Linked DNA regions of Cricetulus griseus. The protein of the gene in region 2 interacts with the protein of the main gene of each other region in a biochemical or structural test. Links are inferred from orthologs where the notes say so. Each region holds a gene or a part of one and is shown on either strand. Other genes may lie near its edges.

Region 1 (6,496 bases), on a different chromosome or scaffold from region 2:
CACTGTCCCCATCTAATCCCTTCTATTCCCATCCCCACCTGCCCTCAGTCTACCCATGAACTCCTCTACTCTGCCGTTCCCAGAGAAAGCCATGTATGCTCTACTTTACAGCTAATAGCCACTTATAAGTGAGTAATACCATGTTTGTCTTTGGGGTTTGTTTGGTTTACTCCACTCAGGATAATTTCCTGCAAATTTCATGATCTTTTTTTAACATTGTATAAATGTGCCACATTTTCTTTATCAGTTCTTTGGTTGAGGGACATCTAGGTGGTTTCCAGTTTCTGGGTATTACAAATAAAGCTGTTCTGTACATAGTTGAGCAAATGTCTTTGTGGTAGGATGGAACATCCTTTGGGTATATGCCCAGGAGTGGTCTTGAGGTAGATCAATTCCCAGTTTCCTGAGGAATCTCTATACTGATTTCCATAGTGGCTGTACAAGGTTAGACTCCTACCCACAATAGAGGAGTGATCCCCTTGCTCTACATCCTTGCCAGCATGAGCTGCCACTTGTGTTATTGATCTTAGTCATTATGTCAGGCGTAAAATGGGATTTCAGAGTCGTTTTGATTTGCATTTCCTTGATTGCTAAAGATGTTGAAAAAATTCTTTAAGTGTTTCTTGGCCATTTGAGAGTTCTCTACTTAGATCTGTATGCCATTTTTAAATTGTATTATCTGATTTGTTGGTGTCTAGTTTCTTGAGTTCTTTATGTGTTTGGGATGTTAGCCAGATGTGGGATAGTCCTGTTGCTGGTATCCTTTGCCTTACAGAGCTTTTCAGTTTCAAGAGTTTCCATTTATTGATCTTAGTTCCTGTGCTATTGGTGTTCTGGCCTAAGCCCAATCTTATGGAGGCATTTTTTTAAAAAATGAAGTTCTCTCCTGTCAGATTACATAGCTTTTATCAAGTTGACATAAAACTATCTAGCACAGTAGACATGGAAATAGTAATCTGAGAAGTGTTTGGAGATGGAATAAAAAGTAGTGCAAAGTTTATTTTTTGGGAACCAAGGTTGGGTGAGGTTGAAACTCTTTTCTTCAATATTGGTATGATGAAAGGGAAGTAGGCCAGCTTTTAGAAGGTCTGACTTTCTAGCTGAATGTCTATTTTCGCTGAGTTATATTTTTCATGAGCGGAGTGAATGCTTAACTAACTTCCATTGCGTTATGTAGCACTAAGCTTGTCTGATTGTTGTAGGATGTCCAGTGTTATCCTGAAAGGATGATCAACAGTTTTTTTCACATTTGTTTTCATCATTGATTGTAATACCTAGGGATTTTTTAAATTACATTTTTATTTGTTCCTGTGTTTATGTACCATGTGTATCATGGTACATGTACCACAGGACCTTGAAGATCAGAAGACAACTGATTGCAGTCAGTTTTCTCCTTCCACCCTGTGGGTCCTGGGGTTGAATTCAGGTAGTAAGACTTAGCAGCAAGCACCCTTCTAACCCTTTGAACCATACAGATGATCCATGGCCAGGGCATTTTTAAACCAAAAAAGCATGTTAGCTTAGATGTTAATGTTAGGTGGACTTCAGAATCCCAGCGTGGGCACAGTGCACGGAGAGAAGAACAAGAAGGAAAAATTAAAATAGGAGAGGTCTGAAATAACATTATGCTTTTAATTGCATTTACTGCTGGGTGAGGCATTCAGATAGAGGTAGAAAGGATGGGAGAAGAGAAGATAATAAGGTGTGTTCTTTTATACGTATTTGCTTGAAAATTAATGACTTATTCCTACATTTTTACTAGGAAAATCAACTCTAGAACATAGCAGGTTCTCTTGTTTGAACTCTCAATATCTGAGCAGTCTAGATTTACTTTGAAAAATCTTAATGAAAAGAAATTGTTGAGAACAGGGAAGGAGTTCTCTTAGAGTGTGCAGTCCTACCACAGGAATGAGCTCTAATCGAAATGCTTTTACCTTCAGACCTTCAAGATATTCCGTATTCTGATTGGTGTGAGCAGACGATCCACAATCCCTTAGAAGTGGTTCCCTCTAAGTTCTCAGGGATTTCTGGATGCAGCGACGGTGCATCTCAGGAAGGCTCAGCCAGCAGCACCAAAAGCACAGAGCTGCTACTGGGTGAGTCTTTAGATGCAGTTTCTGCATCCTTAATAAAACTGCATTCAGTTGGTTTTGCCTGCTAGCATATGTACTGTAATGTACAGTTGTCTCAGAGCTCTAACAGGTCTGTGTAAGACATTTAGCAGACTCTTAAATACTGCACCTATGCCAGCCATTCATAGCCCGTTCCCTCTCCGTGCTCTACTTCTATGAGAGCTTTGCCCCTACTTCATTGGCAGATTTTGTGCAGTTGATTCCAATTTCAGTTGCTTTTGTAGTTGGAAAATAAATAACCGTGAACCATAGTCATTTCTACATTGTGATATGATAAGTGACCTCACACTGACGTCTTCATTTCAGGTGTGAAAACCATTCCAGATGATACACCAATGTGCCGTATCCTGCTTCGTAAAGAAGTGCTAAGATTAGTCGTCAATTTGAGTAGTTCAGTTTCTACCAAGTGTCACGAAACAGGGCTTTTGACGTGAGTAACTATGTGAAGGTTGTGAGCTTGTTCTACTTTGTAAATTGCAGGAAGACACTTGCACAACAGCAGTCACAAGCTGCCTTCTATACATAGGGCTTAAAGTTGCTTCACTGTGGTACCTTAGTCTGGAGAGCAGATTGAAGAGAAAGTGAGAATCCAGCAATAATTTCAAACAAATCTGCAAAAATGGAAAACTGTATCTAAAAGCAGGACCCCTCTTGTCCCATTTTTTTAGTCTTGGTAAAATTTGGGGTTTTAAGTTAAATAACTTATTTATGTTAAACCTATAAAACATTTTTTTTAATTCCTAAATTTCAGTTTCTGGCATAATTGTTGGTGGCTATAACTCAAATACAAAAACAAGCTTTTTAGATTTCTCAATCAAATTTCAAGAAAGTGAGGAAGACCTAAGACCAACTGTTTTAGAAGTGAGGCTAAAATCGTTTATTTTTCTCTTTTCCTTCTTTTAAGAAAAAATTTAGGATATTTATTGTTTTTCTAACTCAGAGCAGCCTGATAAATGAAAAAAAATGATTTTGAGAAAATCATCCCTATTTGTGCTATTTAAAGTAGTGGTTTTCAAAAGAAGTATGAAATAGAAGTAGTTTGTAATAAGCCAGGTTTGGCGGCATATACTCGTAATCCCAGCACTTGGGAGGTCTCAGAGACAGGAGGATCTGGGATGCTAGGGACATGGAATCATGTTCAAGGCATGCCTGGACTACATGAAACCCTGTAGCAAAAAAAGGGAAAAAGAGACAGACAAACTAACTCACTATATTACTAAGCCATCACTCCTAACATTCCATCCAGTCAATATCTGGAGAAAAAATTAGCAGAAGGTGATATTCTGAAGGGTTAAATGAGTAAATTATCACAGCATTGTCTTTTCATTTTAGAATTAAAGAGAAGTATCCTCAAACATTTGATGACATATGCCTTTATTCTGAAGTTTCTCATTTGTTGGCACACTGCACATTTAGACTTCAATGCCGGAGGTTCATACAAGAGTTATTTCAGGATGTACAATTTTTACAAGTAAGTAAGACTATTTCTGAAATTTGTCTCCCAGAATTATTCTATACTTGAAGAAGTTGAAAGAGTGTATCTACATTATATGCCATTTTTATTTATTAACAATTTATCATTTTTCCTAGATGCATGAAGAAGCAGAGGCTGTGTTGGCAATTCCACCAAAACAACCCATAGTTGATGAATCTGATGAATCCTGACCTCATATTTATGATGTGTATAGCTAGACACTATATATTTATCCAAACTTGTGGATTTCCTAAAGGCCTCACGAAATACTGACTGGCTGTCAGGGAGGCAGGAATGTCTTCTGTCCCAGCAGTCATTGGTACAGAACAGCTGCAACTGCTGTCGTCCCTAACCAAGCCAACTTCCTCTTCCCTGTTGGACCCTTCTCCGGGTTCGTGATTCATTACCACAGTTTTAATTCAGTTCCCATCATATGCAAGAGCCAAGCACTGAATACCTACATAGGTTTTCTATTTTTTTATTTTAAAAGCATAATGGCGGTGGAACAAAAACAGGACATGAAGAAGTACCCTTCACATAGTTGTTTCTGAATGCTTCTTAAGGGTAAATCAAAAAGATGCCTTGTTTGTTAGCTAATTCATGGAAACCAGGAGTCACTGTCTCTGAGGCTGCATCCTGCTATCCCATAGGCTGTGCTGTAACTGCTGGTAAAGAGGGCTTCGTTGGCCCTTCCACATTTCCTTAATGTTTGTAACACTACTTCAGAGGTTTCTGACCTCGGAGCAAAAGAAGAGCCTCAACAATTGGAACTTAAGAGTTATTTTATATTGTTAGACTGCATAAAGATGCTTATTTGTTTTCCATCTCTTCATGTTTGTTGCAATATATTGTTATTGTACCAATTAAGGTTTTTCACTACAGTTGTTGGTTAAAATAAATAGTTCAATGGAAATACTTCCCATATCCAGAATGCATATATATATATATATATATATATATATATATATATATATATTTACATACATACATACACAACCCCAGTGGACTTCCATCTGTATGAGCTCCTCTCATCACCACTTTAAACAGACTGAGCAAGTATTAGTAGTCTGCACCCAAAGCAAAGAAAAGCATTAAGTGATACTTCCAATCTCTTAAATACAATTCACACATTCCATGTTAAAAAAAAGAGCCATATTTGTGTTTAAAAAGTCATTGAGACTCATTAAGATTAAAAATTGTGGTGAAAAGCCTTAATCACTAAATTTTAAAGCTGCGACAATGTCATTTTTGTTAGTGTTCTTGTTTTGCACAAAATAATTGCAGTTGTAGGTGAGTTGAGTATAGTCATTGCCTTTATCACATGTGAAGTTGATGAAGGCAGGGTTTTGTGTGTCTAATTTGTGTATGTATAAAGATATTTGGAAATCTTTACAGAAATTAAATATGCAAATTTGTACATAAAGTAGCATGAACATCATTTCTAGAATGCTTGTGAGTGAAAGGGTTATCTTTCTTGGAATCATATGTACAGAACAAAAACATCCAGCTGGATTGCCTAGGACCCTTTTGTAACTGCTTTGTGTAGACTGTTTTACAGTTACACATAAGCTTGAACACCGTCATAGACATCAGTCCATGTTTTCCCATGTTGTACACCCTTTTCATAATGGGCTTGTTTTCGAGACCTGGGAAACAGAACTCACAGAGATTTTTTTTTTAACTGGCACTGAAAGCTCCCACTAGGATGAAGCATTTCATCTCCCTCCTAACTCCTCTGACTGCACTTCAGCAAGTTGTTCTTACATGCACTGTGTGGCAACTTCCATGACGATAAAGCAGACAAGGGCTCTAAGCTGCTGCTCATGTTACAACACGGTTCTTCTCCTTTACTCAGAAAATCCAGTGAGGGTAAAACTTTGAACTTCATCACTGAACCCAAGTGTTTATTTAAATGTCAACAGTACTTCTAAGAGCATTGCCTATCACGTTGGTCTTTGGTCTTGGATAATAAAACTGCCTTTCCAGAGAACCAAATGTCAGAGATACTAGACCAAATAGTGGTTACAATTCCAAAGGAAGGAATGTAGTCTTACTCATAATGGGATTAACATTTTAGACATTCATTTTAAACACTACCTCAGTTAACATAGAGTATAAAATCTGTGGTTTCATCCCTCAAAAATAAACAGTAACTATTTTTGTTTTCCATCACACAAAACTATTCCCTATCCTGCGCACCTAAGTCAGCCATCCTTAAATTAAGACTGTGCCTAGTGTCCTAAGCAGGTGTTTGTTTTGATTGTTACTTTGAAAGAGGAGTGTGTGTGTGTGTGTGTGTGTGTGTGTGTGTGTGTGTGTGTGTGTGTGTTCGATCATGTCTGCCTATAGCACTTACTTTGGGAAGATATCGGAGCTTTGTGATGATCAGTCTATTGGAGTAAATTGTCTATACTTAAATTTATAGTGCTATGTGGTTTAACCATGATTTCACCAGGAGGTGTAATACATTTCCTTTAAGTACTTACTTGTATAAAAGTAGACTTTCATGATGAAAACTACATGCAGTGCCAAGTGATTAGTGTAGGTGTTTTATGACTATTAAATTGTAGCAGATTAGGAATGATGAATGATGTCAATGGTAATAGAAATCATTGAGAAATCATCTATAAATAATAGATTTTACCAAAATAATGTCAATACTGTAGTTTTTCAAGAGTTTAGAATTAATCTTAGTCACATAAATTTGTATTATTGGTAATTATTTAATAATTTGGAGGAGTTTGAACAGTTAAGCTGGTTGTAAACTGTGAATTTCTAATTGTAAATTGTCATTTCTAATTGAATTTTTTTCAAGAACAGATTTCAGCTTCACATACTAAGTAAATACTGACAAATAAGGAGAAATTTAGTATTTATAATAAAATAGGCT
Region 2 (6,496 bases):
CCAGAAAGGTGTTGGCAGTAGGAGGCAGTCTGTTATCTAGGAAGCAAAAGGATTACATTTCATCTGCACTGGGGAAACAGAGAAAGAGAACAGAAACTGGGCTCAGGCTACTAAACCTGCAACTCTGCCTTTAGTGAAATACTGCCTCCACCAGGGCTCTGCCTCCTAAAGGTTCCATAACTTTGCTAAACCATGCCACCAGCTGAGGACCAAGGGTTTAAACACGCAAGCCTATGGGGCACATTGCTCATTCAAACCACAGCTTTCTAAGCAAAAAGATTGCCCGTTAATCCTTACTGTTGCTCTAGTGCCTGTCTTGTGCTAGCCCTGTAACCCATCAGAGGAAAGACAACTGCTTACGAGTTTTTTGCTAGCTAAAATTCCATCACCGATTCTAAGAGTGTAGGGCTGCCATGATGCTGGGTTGGATGTCTTATCATAATCTCTCTGACATGCTGCTTTGCTTCCCATGAACATTTCAGAATAATATTGTCTATTTAAAGCTTCAGCCTCAAGCTGTTTTATTTCCTTGACCTCGCCAGTCAACTGGGGACAGGAGCTTCTTAGTACTATCAGTTTTACAACGATAAGCTGAAGTCTGTCCCTGTCCCTGCTGCTAGGTGATATTAAACCATGCCATTTAAATGTCCAAGTAGTGTGGCTTAAATTCAACATCCAGAGAGGACCGGATATCAGTGATCAGGGGGCAGTGATGAATTGGGAAACTGTGGAGAAATACTCCATAAATTACACATTATGGAAGTGTGGGTAGTTTCTCAGCAAGATCCAGTTTGTACAGGAGATGCTTTCACAGAATCTGTGAAACAGTCCTGAGGCTCGGCAGCAGCTCTGAGGGTGGGGATTTGTTGTGCTGGTGAGCTTCTGCATTGTAAGCCATATTCTCTCTGTATTTTTGTCATTAGCTTTAAATTTACATCCAATTGCTGAATTTTCTGGTGACTCAAAGGAGATTATTTTGAGATCCCAGCAAACCTGCATTTCAGAAAATTACAAGTGCCAGAAGTGCAGAATCCTGGGCCTTCTTTCTTCTTGAGATACTGTCATATTAAATATGAGTCACCTGAATAATCTTTACAGGAACCTCCAAATAGGATGCAAAATACCACTTTTCTTCCCATGTTTTCTGGGGTTGAATACTCTCACTCCATGGGTTAATACCATGATTATTTAATTTGCATTAAAACATTTATTAATTTAACAAATACCCTTATTTAAGCTTCATGTTTCTCATGATATAATAATAAATTGGAGTATTGACCCTCTAGCAGACATGATTTTATTTACCGCCCTTTGGTGTATTCTGCTTTGTTGAACAGTATAACCTAAAAAGGGATTTTTGTCAGTACTTTGTTTTGTAATGAGACCTGAACGATACAGAGCAGAGTGGAATTGTCTTTATTGATCTGAGCCTAGCCCTTCTTCTGAGCCTCATGTGTTTCATTTCATTAGAAGTATCTCGTTGATTCCTGTTCAGCTTTGTTCAGTTACACCTGTCATTTACTTTCCCAATGGCTGTCCTGTTTCTTGATTTTTCTGATCTGTCTTTGTGTATTGATGCTCTGAGTTTTCATTATAAGGTTAAATTTCACGTTAAGAGTTCAGTAGATCAATATGGCCTATGAGAGGCCTTACAGTTCGTACTTGGTCTTCCATTTTCAGCCATTCTTCCTGGCGGTGTCAGTTTTAGATGGCTGGGTAAAATGAGACACTTCAAGCGTATCTCCTGTACTTGTATTTGGTTAGCGCATTTGGGAATTGTTTGTGAATGTGTTTAGTTATGTCTTAGACTGATTTACCACTTACTCACTATTCCTTGCTGTATTCAGAGTCTGGCTACACCTTTACATTTGTTACTTAACCATTGTCGACATTTGTTTCTTCAAATTCTAATAAATGAAATCATACATGGCGTTAGCTTTCAAAACACTGGTGTGACAAAAAATAACCTGTGGAAAACAATGTAAATTATTTTAACTCACAACTTAAGAGGATTTGGCCGATATCAGCTGTATTTTCAGGTTGTCAGTTGTGGTAAGGCCTTTAACAGCCTGAAAATAACTTTGTGGAAAGGTGTGGTGGGGGTTGGGGGTTGAATACCCTAGGTCTAAGATTTTAATCCTTTCCTTGTTTGAATTTGGTTTTGTACTATTCTTTCCCCTTGCAACAGGGATGTTAACCTGTGCCTGTCCCGCTGTTGTATTGAAAGTATGTAACTTAGTTTTGATTTTTCCAGAGCTCATAGCTAATAGTTTGCTTTGAGTCTCAGGAGACTAGATTTGAACTTTTCAGCAATACTAGAATTGTTATTGCAGAAATTACATATCACCTTATTCAAAGAGAGGGGTGTAGAGGAATGAGTTACGCTTGGTAACTTTATACGTGCACCCACTTTCCTCCTGTAGGAGATACTCCATGAGCCCCAACACAAGTCATTTATTTGGGTTTGTTAGAATTAGTATCATTGATCATTGGTCTGCAGTTTTACCACTCAGTAGCCAATAGTAATCCTCAGCTATATTTTCTGCCTCAGTTTACCTAACTGGCGCTGTTCAGAGAACAGGGTGTGGCTAGTGCTTTGTCCTCTTGTTTCTCTTGACTGGCACTGAATTCCTGTCTTTATGATGCTACAAAGAGAAACTGACACCTAGGCCTTTGATAAGCCAGTGAGTATGATCTCCTTGCCATAAGTTTTGTTTTGTGTACTAGTGATTGTTCTACAAATTTTAGACTGTCCAGCAAACAGGAACATTGTGGAGATGTTAAAGCATTTCAAAGAATACGTAGCTCAGCCCTTTGTAGGAGTGGAAGAAGCTGAAGCTGAGGCACATTGTGATGTATACATAGCAATCTGCAGCAGAGTCAGGCTAGTAGCAACTCCGCATTGTCGTCAGGTTGTCTTTCCTGATTTAAGGGGAGACATTGGTTTTTCAGCCTATAAAATAATAAAAGATATGACAAGTAATAAACTTATAACACATGCATAAGCACATGATAGGAATCTTAATAATACCGGGATTATAAAGTGTGGTAGATGCATTTGTACAGTTCTGGTTATGTTCAAAAGTAATTGTATAATTAAAATGAACCATATGAAATTTTTCTTTAAAAATAAGTGGGTGTATGGAGAATTTACTCTAATTTGAATATGTAAGATCAGTCTCTAATTTTGTTGTTGTTCTTTCATTCTCTTTCAGAAAGATGAGGTCTACCTTAATCTGGTGCTGGACTATGTTCCGGAAACAGTGTATAGAGTTGCCAGACACTATAGTCGAGCCAAACAGACACTCCCTGTGATCTATGTCAAGGTGTGTAACAATGGAACGACTTCCAGTTTACCAAACATTTAATATGAACCACGCAGAGTATTGGGTTTGTTTCAACTTGTCAACACTGCTTTTACTCCTCAGAGAAGCAGCAAACTCTAGATTTTGTTAGTTCTGACTTGATTTTGAAACATAGAGTTCCCTTTAAAGCCTTCATTACTCTGCAGTGGATAAAGGTGCTTGCTGTGCAAGCCTGGTCATTTGAGTTCTATGGGACGTACATACAGGTAGAAGAGAACCAACTCTATAGAGCCCTCTAAACCTCCACATGCATGCCAGGTTTTATGTGCCCCACCTCAGACACATCATGTTGGCACACACATGCACATGAGATAAGTGAATTGAAATGGATATTCTGATAAGATGCAGTTAAACTTTCATGGTTAGGGGTTTTAATTGTGATAGCCATAACACCTTGTGTGTGGGGTGCAGGGTGAGGCACAAGTGAAGACCAGAGGAGGAGGATGTGCTCCCTTCCCCATAGCCTCCCACCTTTGCCTTGAGAAGGCCTCTTACATAAGCTTATGACTTGGGCTGGTCTGAACCTCCCTCCCCATGCAGTGCTGGGGTAACAGCCAAGTGCAACTAGTCCCACCTTTTTACACAGGTGCCAGAAATCCAAACTGAGGTTTTCGTGTGTGTGCAGCAAATACTCTAACCCAGTGAGACATCTCCCAGCCCCATAACATCATTTTAGTTTTAGATGTCTTCATTGTGCCACACACCAAAGCAGGAACCTACTAGGTAAATTTACAGTTATTAATATACTTATTTAATGCTTTATTACCATTTGTAGACACTTATTACATTCATTGTACAAATTTAAACTTGTCAGTTTTAAACACAAGCCTTAGGATGGTACCCAGCACAGTGTTGGTTGTTTTTGGTGCTGTTGTTCTTTTGCTCATTGTAGTGCAGGAAGCCTTTCAACTTTCTTCATAAAAGTACATTTTTATAAAGTAGACCAAAGGCCCCCCCCCCAAAAAAAGATGCAGTCTCATTTCATTCTTAAACTTTACTTTTCCAAGACAAATGAAAAGAACAGTGATGAGATATCTTTAAATGAATCTTAAACTGCTAAGGACATCTTTTGTAAGAAAATGTCTTTCACCGAGTTTTGTTAATCTAAATATTAATACCCTGAAACAGCTAAATCTTTCCTTTGATGCCCATGAACTCTCTTGGTTATAGATCATTTGGTTGGAGATAATGAATTCAGCTACCAGAGTAAGCTTTGGAACTTAAAACTTGATTCTGTAAATGAACAATGATACAATAATAGTTACAAAGCCTTTAAAAAGATTAATAGGTATCTAAATGCTTTACTTCTGATTTAATTAGAAAATGTTGACATTGAAGATCTTAGGTATACATTTTTGTCATGCTTCATTTTGAAGAAGGCTCTAACTTGCATAGCTTGATTTCAGATTCACATTAAACATGTACTGTTAACATGTCCAGCCTTAGCAGTTTCATTATGCTTCTAAAGAAAAGTGGCTTTCCTGTGAACTTCAATAATGCCAGTCCCCAACAATATATCCAGAAAAGACAGGGTCTTTTGTCAGTACCTCAGCTGACCTTTAATCTTTTTATTGGCTTTTTGTTGTTTTGTTTTTGTTTTTTGAGACAGGGTTTCTCTGTGTAGCTTTGAAGGCTGTCCTGGAACTCACCCTGTAGACCAGGCTGGCCTCAAACTCACAGAGATCCGCCTGCCTCTGCCTCCTGAGTGCTGGGATTAAGGATGTACACCACCATTGTCTGGCTGTTCATTTTTTTTTTTTTTCCTTAGTCAGACACTGTGTCTTTGATTGGAATCATTGCAGCAATTGTTTCCATGGTGTTAATCAGGGAGTAGAGCTCAGAAAGTGAGCATGTAGAAAAAATTTAAAATGAATCTGGTTGAGTGTAGTGGTACATATCTATAATCTTAGCAATTTGGAGTAAGACAAAAGAATGACAGGATCAAGACCAGCTTGTATACAACAGGAGTAGTATGTCCTGGAAGAGATTAAAAATGAATAAATCAATAACTAAGAAATAAGTAAACAAATAATAAGTAAATAAATAAATAAGGAAGAAAGGAAGTAACGAAGGGAAAGAGTCACAACACTGGCCTTGGAATAAATAGAATATTGAAGGTGTTACATCGGTATGTTTTCTTAAAGTTTTAAGGGTATTTCTCTGGTTGCTCTGACAAAATTCCAGACAAAGGCAACTCAATGAAGGAAAGGTTTATTTTGGCCTAATAGTTCTGGAGGATAGGGTGCATCGAGGTAGGGAAAGCAAGGTGAGAGAACATGGGATAGTGGGTCACTCTCAGAGGATATATCGTGTGTGAGCTCTGAAATTTGCTCTATAGGCCAAGCCATCCTTGGACTCAGAGACCCCCCTGGCATCTGTTTTTAGGTGGCATTGCAAGTCTACATTATTCTGAAGGTTATTAATACTACTTATTAGCAGAGTTACTGATGTCTGAAAAGGCAATTGATTAGATTTCTTACTTTACCTGTGAGTTTTCCTGGCTTCTATTATATGATTTTGGAGACTAACCTTTCAGAAAGATAAATGATACTAAAAATGACACTATGCTTTTACAGCCTGAGATACTAGAAAGAATAATGAACATGGTTTATCATCTAAAGGCTGCTATCTATCACTCATAGACTATGGTCGGTCTCTCCCTCTGAGCTCTTCATCGATGTTTTAAGTAAAAAAATTCATCCAGCTGACTTCAGATGAGATGTTAAAGTGGGTGAAAGGGATTGAACCCCTGACTTTTTTTGTGTGCTAAGCAAGTGCTCTACTGCTTAGCTACATCCCTAGCCCTCTTTAAATTTTAGATTGAGATATGGTTTCACTAAGTTTCCTAGGTAGACCTTAAACTTAGAATTCCCCTGCCTCAGTTGTATGACACCAAGCCTAGATACTTTTCTAAATTACTAAAGGATAGCACAAATATATGCTTAATGATACTTTAATTTCCTAGTGTTTATGGAAACAACATGAAAGCTTGTGTAGGCAAAACAGTACTAGTAATCATCAGCGTTGTACATGTTCTGCTGAGACTATTACTTTGTTTATTGCATAATGATACAATTGTGTCTGAAACCAGAGGTGCTGAATTAATGTCTATTATTTATTCCAGTTGTATA
Region 3 (6,101 bases), on a different chromosome or scaffold from region 2:
AGCGTGAGTTTGTATTCTCCCCCATCAAGGATGGCATACAGTGAATTAACCCATGTGGACCATCTTGAACATGGTTTCTCCTTCCTTTTCTTTCTTAAACACAGGACATGGATTTGATTGACATCCTTTGGAGGCAAGACATAGATCTTGGGGTAAGCCGAGAAGTGTTTGATTTCAGTCAGCGACAGAAAGACTATGAGCTGGAAAAACAGAAAAAACTTGAAAAGGAGAGACAAGAGCAACTCCAGAAGGAACAGGAGAAGGCCTTTTTCGCTCAGTTACAACTGGATGAAGAGACAGGAGAATTCCTCCCAATTCAGCCAGCCCAGCACATCCAGACAGATGCCAGTGGATCTGCCAGCTATTCCCAGGTATACTTAGTTCTCAGAAAAAAAAAGAAAAAAAAAATGAGTTTTCCTCTAAGTGGACCACCTGGATTTGAGTTCTTTGTCTGTTGTCTACCATGTCTTTTGTGACTAGATCAAGTTCCCAAGCTTGGCTTCCTGATGAGTTCAGTACCTGAGCTCCTCTTAAGGGTCCTTGTGATGATCAAGACATGGATCACAGGGAGCACTTGGAGAATTACAGAAATACCTGTTGGGAGAAACTGCAACAGTAGTGCTGTTGGTAGTAAACTGGTGTGCATTGCTCACAGTGTTGTGGCAGGCATCGCCCTAGTTATATGAATAACTGATTTAACTTACTATGTTAAGTACTATGATTCCCATGTAAGTTGACAGACAACTAAAGCTCAGAAGGGTTAAATCATTTACCCAGACCACTCAGAAAATTAGGGGAGGTTATTGCCTAGCACAAGGCCCTCTGTTCAATCCCCCAGCACTGTTTATTAAGCGGGGAGGGGATGGGACTAAGATTTGAATCTAAGTGATCTGGTTTGAACTTGTGCAACAGACTGATTTCTGAAGTAACATTAGTTTGTATCATTATTTAAGGAACAACTCTTGATGCCAGTCACACCTCTTGGGCTCAGCAGAACTTTTAATAAATTCTTTTGTGCCATTCCCTCTTGATCCAGGTGACCCACATTCCCAAACCAGATGCCTTGTACTTTGAAGACTGCATGCAGCTTTTGGCAGAGACATTCCCATTTGTAGATGACCATGAGGTATAAAAATGTTTGCTTAACAGCAAAACTCCCTTATTTGGTATTAGTTCCTTTAATGTGTCCCCAAGTATAAGAATAAAAAAAATTTTAGAAGGACATATTTGACCAAAGAAATTATTTGTTAAGGGAATTATACAGGTATCTATACGATGCTTAAAAATAAGGTCTGTATATAATACTAAACCTCAAGTCAATTTTACTGTGTAGCTACAAAAAAAATGAATCAAGAGTTAATTTTCCATAGGAAATGGATATAGGTATATAAAATACTGACCAGTAAAGAGCAACTATTAACCAGTACTTTAGTTAACATTCTTGCCAGGCATTGGTGGTGCACACCTTTAATTCCAGCACTTGGCAGTTGACCTCTGTGAGTTCGAGACCAGCCTGGTCTACATAGTTCCAGGATAGGCTCCAAAGCTACCCAGAGAAACCCTGCCCCCCCCCAAAAAAAAGCTTTATCTATTGTTTGAAGCACTCTGCTAGATGTTACAGATAGAAATTAAGTCCTCATAATTATTTTTATCCATTTTGAAATCTGCCCTTAAATACATGGGCAACAGCTTAGTAAATTGTAAATGTGGAGTCATTTTGGAAGGATGAAATGTTGTTGTATAGAAACAGTGATAAGTAATCAAAGAGCTGCAGACCCAATTAAGTGTCCTCTGCATGCCTTGGCCGTCACTAATGTAAGTGCCTTGTCAATCTTAGGTTTCTTCACCTACATTTCAATCACTCACCCTGGATATTTCCAGCAACGTTGAAAGCCCAGTCTTCAGCAGTCCGGATCAGGCTCAGTCACTGGACAGCTGTCTGGAGACAGCCATGACTGATCTAAACAGCATACAGCAGGACATGGAGCAAGTTTGGCAGGAGCTTCTTTCCATTCCCGAATTACAGGTAAGCGAGCTCTGTGAGTGTGCTGTTTCCTATGTGGCCCTTAAATTAGTCATCCTGGTTATTTATTATTTACATGTCACCTACTTACAGGAAGAAATTGGGGGTGTGTTTGAATTACTCATGAGAGCATCCCAGGCTCATTTAACACATACAGTTTTTAGTTAAGCAGGCTGAATATTTCAGGATAGATTCATTCTAAGTGTGAAAGCTAATTTAGAGCTCTGACAATCATATCGATCTATAGGAAATTAGAGTTATTGGAATTATTGAAAAGAACACCTTGGAAATGGGGGGTAGAGAATTGATTTTAAAATACCTAGCCTCTATTCATACAATATCGTATTCATACAATACAATTCATACAATATGAACTTCTTTTCTAGTGTCTTAATACTGAAAACAAGCCGCTGGTTGAGACTGCCACTGTTCCCAGCCCAGAAGCCAATCTGACAGAAATTGACAGCAATTACCATTTTTACTCATCCGTCCCCTCACTGGATAAAGAAGTCGACAGTTGCAGTCCACATTTTCTTCATGGTTTTGAAGATTCTTTCGGCAGCATCCTCTCCACGGAAGACGCCAGCCAGCTCACCTCCTTAGATTCAAATTCCACATTAAACACAGATTTTGGTGATGAGTTCTATTCTGCTTTCATAGCAGAGCCCAGTGGCAGTAGCAGCATGGCTTCCTCTGCTGCCGTCAGTCAGTCACTCTCTGAACTTCTGGGCGGGCCTATTGATGGCTGTGATCTGTCACTTTGTAAAGCTTTCAACCAGAAGCACCCCGAAAGCACAGCAGAATTCAATGACTCTGACTCTGGCATCTCACTGAACACTAGTCCCAGCCGAGCATCCCCAGAGCACTCTGCGGAGTCTTCCATTTACGGAGACCCACCGCCTGGGTTCAGTGACTCTGAAATGGAAGAGCTAGATAGTGCCCCTGGAAGTGTCAAACAGAATGGTCCTAAGGCACAGCCAACACATTCTTCTGGGGATACAGTGCAACCTCTGTCACCAGCTCTAGGGCACAGTCCTCCTGCACATGATGCCCAGTGTGAAAATACAACAAAAAAAGAAATGCCTGTGAGTCCTGGTCATCAAAAAGTCCCATTCACAAAAGACAAACATTCAAGCCGCTTGGAGGCTCATCTCACAAGAGATGAGCTTAGGGCAAAAGCTCTCCATATCCCATTCCCTGTTGAAAAAATCATTAACCTCCCTGTTGATGACTTCAATGAAATGATGTCCAAGGAGCAATTCAATGAAGCTCAGCTTGCATTAATCAGAGATATACGCAGGAGAGGCAAGAATAAAGTCGCTGCTCAGAACTGTAGGAAAAGGAAACTGGAGAACATAGTAGAACTGGAGCAAGACTTAGGCCACTTAAAAGATGAAAGAGAAAAACTACTCAGAGAAAAGGGAGAAAACGACAGAAACCTCCATCTACTGAAGAGGCAGCTCAGCACCTTGTACCTTGAAGTCTTCAGCATGTTACGTGATGAGGATGGAAACCCTTACTCTCCTAGTGAGTACTCCCTGCAGCAGACCAGAGACGGCAATGTATTCCTGGTTCCCAAAAGCAAGAAGCCAGACACCAAGAAAAACTAGGTTCGGAAAGATGGAGCCTTTTGTTTTGAGCTAGTGTTTGTTTTGTACTGCTAAGACTTCCTACTGTGATGTGAAATGCAGAAACACACTTTATAGGAACTATGCAGAACTATAGCCAAAGTTAGCGTAGAAATAATATGAAACTACAGAGCATTCATGTCTCAATGTTGAATCAGTTTCATTTTAACTCTGAAGTTAATTTCTTAGGGCATCATTTGGGCTAGTTTCTGTGTAAGTGTAAATACTACAAAACTTATTTATACTGTTCTTATTTGTTACATTCATAGATTTTTATGACATCTGGCTAAAAGCAAATTATTGCAAAACTAACCAAACCACTATACTTTTTTATATACTGTATGAACAAAAATGACATTTTTATATTAAATTGTTTAGCTCTGACAAAAATTAAAGGAGCTGACACTAATAAAGGAATATCGTGACTTAAATTACTCTGGATCGAGTTTATTCACAACAGTATTTCCCATAGGAGAATCACCCATTTAGCACATTTGGTTATTTTTCACTTTCAGAATGGTTTTGAAAATTCAAAAGCATTTTATAACCAGGTGTGGTAGTACATGCTGCTTATTCTCAATATTCTGGAGGTAGAGGCAAAAATAAACCCTTTCTATACTAAATGTAGTTACTAGGATTGTCCTACCAAGGAAATGGTGTATGTCCCATGAAAACTTGCTTATTCACAGCAATGGTATGCCTGCTAAGGGGGGTTAGGAATGTTAAGAAAAAAGATTGAGAAAACCAGTTTTTATTAAAAAAACAAAAAACAAAACAAAAAAACAGGGAACAGGGCCTAGTGGCTCATGTCTTTAATCTTGGCAATTCGGGGCAGGGACTGGCCAATCTCTCTGAGTTCGTGACCAGCCTGGTTTACATAGAGAGTTCCAACATAGCCAGAGAGCTATGTAAAGAGAAACTATGTCTCAAAAAAAAAAAAAAAAAAAAAAAAAATCCAAATAAATGAATACTAGTAAAACCCATTGCAACTCTGAGCTTGTAACATCTGAAGGTGTAGGTCAAACCACTGTTAGAGCATTGCATGATAACACAAAACTGCAGACCAAGGCTGAGCCACAGAGATGGAAGTGATGGGAAGAACCGCTATGAAAATGGTAGGAGTGGGCAGTCTTTAGAAGACAGGGGCTAAGATTGAAGTGGGAGATGAGCCTGTCCCCTCTGGTTTGTGCACCTGAGCAATCTACAAGGCAGGAGTGGGTTCAGAGAGACCAATTGTGAAGTTAGTATATGCAACTACATTTTTCTTTCACGACAGGGTTTTTCTGTACCCCTGGCTGTCCTGGAACTCTATAGACCAGCTGGCTTTGAGCTTGAGATCTGCCTGCCCTAGCCTCCTCATATCTGGGGTTAAAGGCATACACCATCATTTTCTAATAAAATCAAGGAATTGTTACACAAGAATGAAGAAATTCTAATGGTGGGAAAACTGGCTCACATGTGTAGATAGAGACTATTAGACATGTAGAGGATATAAAAACAAAGCCCCTAAAACTTAAAAATTTGCATTCCTTTAAAACAAAAACACTTGATAACACCAGTTCAATTTCATCTAATCGCTGTAATTCATGCTTATTGCCTTTTTAAGAGTCAGGAGCTAGGTGTGGCTGTGCACCCAGGAGGGAGAATTATCTCAAGTTCATACAGCCTGAGCAGTTCCAGGGCTACATAAAATTTGAGGAAGAGGGTCCTGGAGATGCACTTGAGACTTGATAAACATTCCTCTAAGAGTTCTACCAGTAAACTGGGACCAGTCATGTACTTAACAGCCCTGGCACCAGACTGACCCTGTTCTGGTCATTTTCTAGAGAAATGCCTCCATCTACTCACTTTAGCACTCAGACTTGTCTCATCTGTGATGGAAACATCTGTAAATGGATTATTTGTTCATCTTCAAACCTTGTTCTAGGATTCATAAGATAGTTGGTCATGAATTCTCATGCTGTCCATCTCTGGAGGTGTGGTAGTGATAGACGATCCCATTTTATTCCAATTGACAAAGAAACTGACAGGAATCCTGGGAGTAGCTCCATGTGGAGCACACAGAATAGACTGCCCATCTGCATTATCACAGTCCTGTTTCACAAGATTCTGCCATTCATAAAAAGGAACTGACCGTAGTACTTTACAGTGTCTAAATTTACATTATGTGGTGCTTTATGCAATTGCTTAAAATTTCAAATAGAGAGGCTAGAAAGATGGCTCATTGATTAAGAGCTCTGACCGCTCTTCTAGAGGACATGGGCTCAAATTCCAGCACATGAATGGCAGCTCACAACCATCTATAACTGCAGTTCCAGGGCACCAGTTACACAGACAGGCATGCACACAAAACATCCATACACAAAAAGTCTTTTTAAGAAAATTTTAAAGCCAGACAGTGGTGGCACACACCTTTAATTCCAGTACTTGGGAGGCAGAGGTAGGCAGAT

Evidence for each region.
Region 1: of the proteins of Gsk3b (region 2) and Rictor, one has a biochemical effect on the other in vitro, tested with the Homo sapiens proteins (2 studies listed by BioGRID). The link is inferred for Cricetulus griseus from reciprocal best matches to the Homo sapiens genes GSK3B and RICTOR.
Region 3: of the proteins of Gsk3b (region 2) and Nfe2l2, one has a biochemical effect on the other in vitro, tested with the Homo sapiens proteins (2 studies listed by BioGRID). The link is inferred for Cricetulus griseus from reciprocal best matches to the Homo sapiens genes GSK3B and NFE2L2.

What each region holds. Positions count from the first base shown.
Region 1 is NC_048595.1:340,527,808-340,534,303, forward strand, and holds part of Rictor (rapamycin-insensitive companion of mTOR), read left to right. Parts: intron 1-1,940; coding exon 1,941-2,096; intron 2,097-2,438; coding exon 2,439-2,562; intron 2,563-3,464; coding exon 3,465-3,603; intron 3,604-3,722; coding exon 3,723-3,797; 3' UTR 3,798-6,496. UniProt on the Homo sapiens protein: Component of the mechanistic target of rapamycin complex 2 (mTORC2), which transduces signals from growth factors to pathways involved in proliferation, cytoskeletal organization, lipogenesis and anabolic output.
Region 2 is NC_048597.1:51,926,541-51,933,036, reverse strand, and holds part of Gsk3b (glycogen synthase kinase-3 beta), read left to right. Parts: intron 1-3,215; coding exon 3,216-3,326; intron 3,327-6,489; coding exon 6,490-6,496. UniProt on the Homo sapiens protein: Constitutively active protein kinase that acts as a negative regulator in the hormonal control of glucose homeostasis, Wnt signaling and regulation of transcription factors and microtubules, by phosphorylating and inactivating glycogen synthase (GYS1 or GYS2), EIF2B, CTNNB1/beta-catenin, APC, AXIN1, DPYSL2/CRMP2, JUN, NFATC1/NFATC, MAPT/TAU and MACF1.
Region 3 is NC_048599.1:99,391,978-99,398,078, forward strand, and holds the end of Nfe2l2 (nuclear factor erythroid 2-related factor 2), read left to right. Parts: exon of another isoform or gene 1-104; coding exon 105-371; intron 372-1,036; coding exon 1,037-1,126; intron 1,127-1,837; coding exon 1,838-2,026; intron 2,027-2,409; coding exon 2,410-3,633; 3' UTR 3,634-4,085; downstream 4,086-6,101.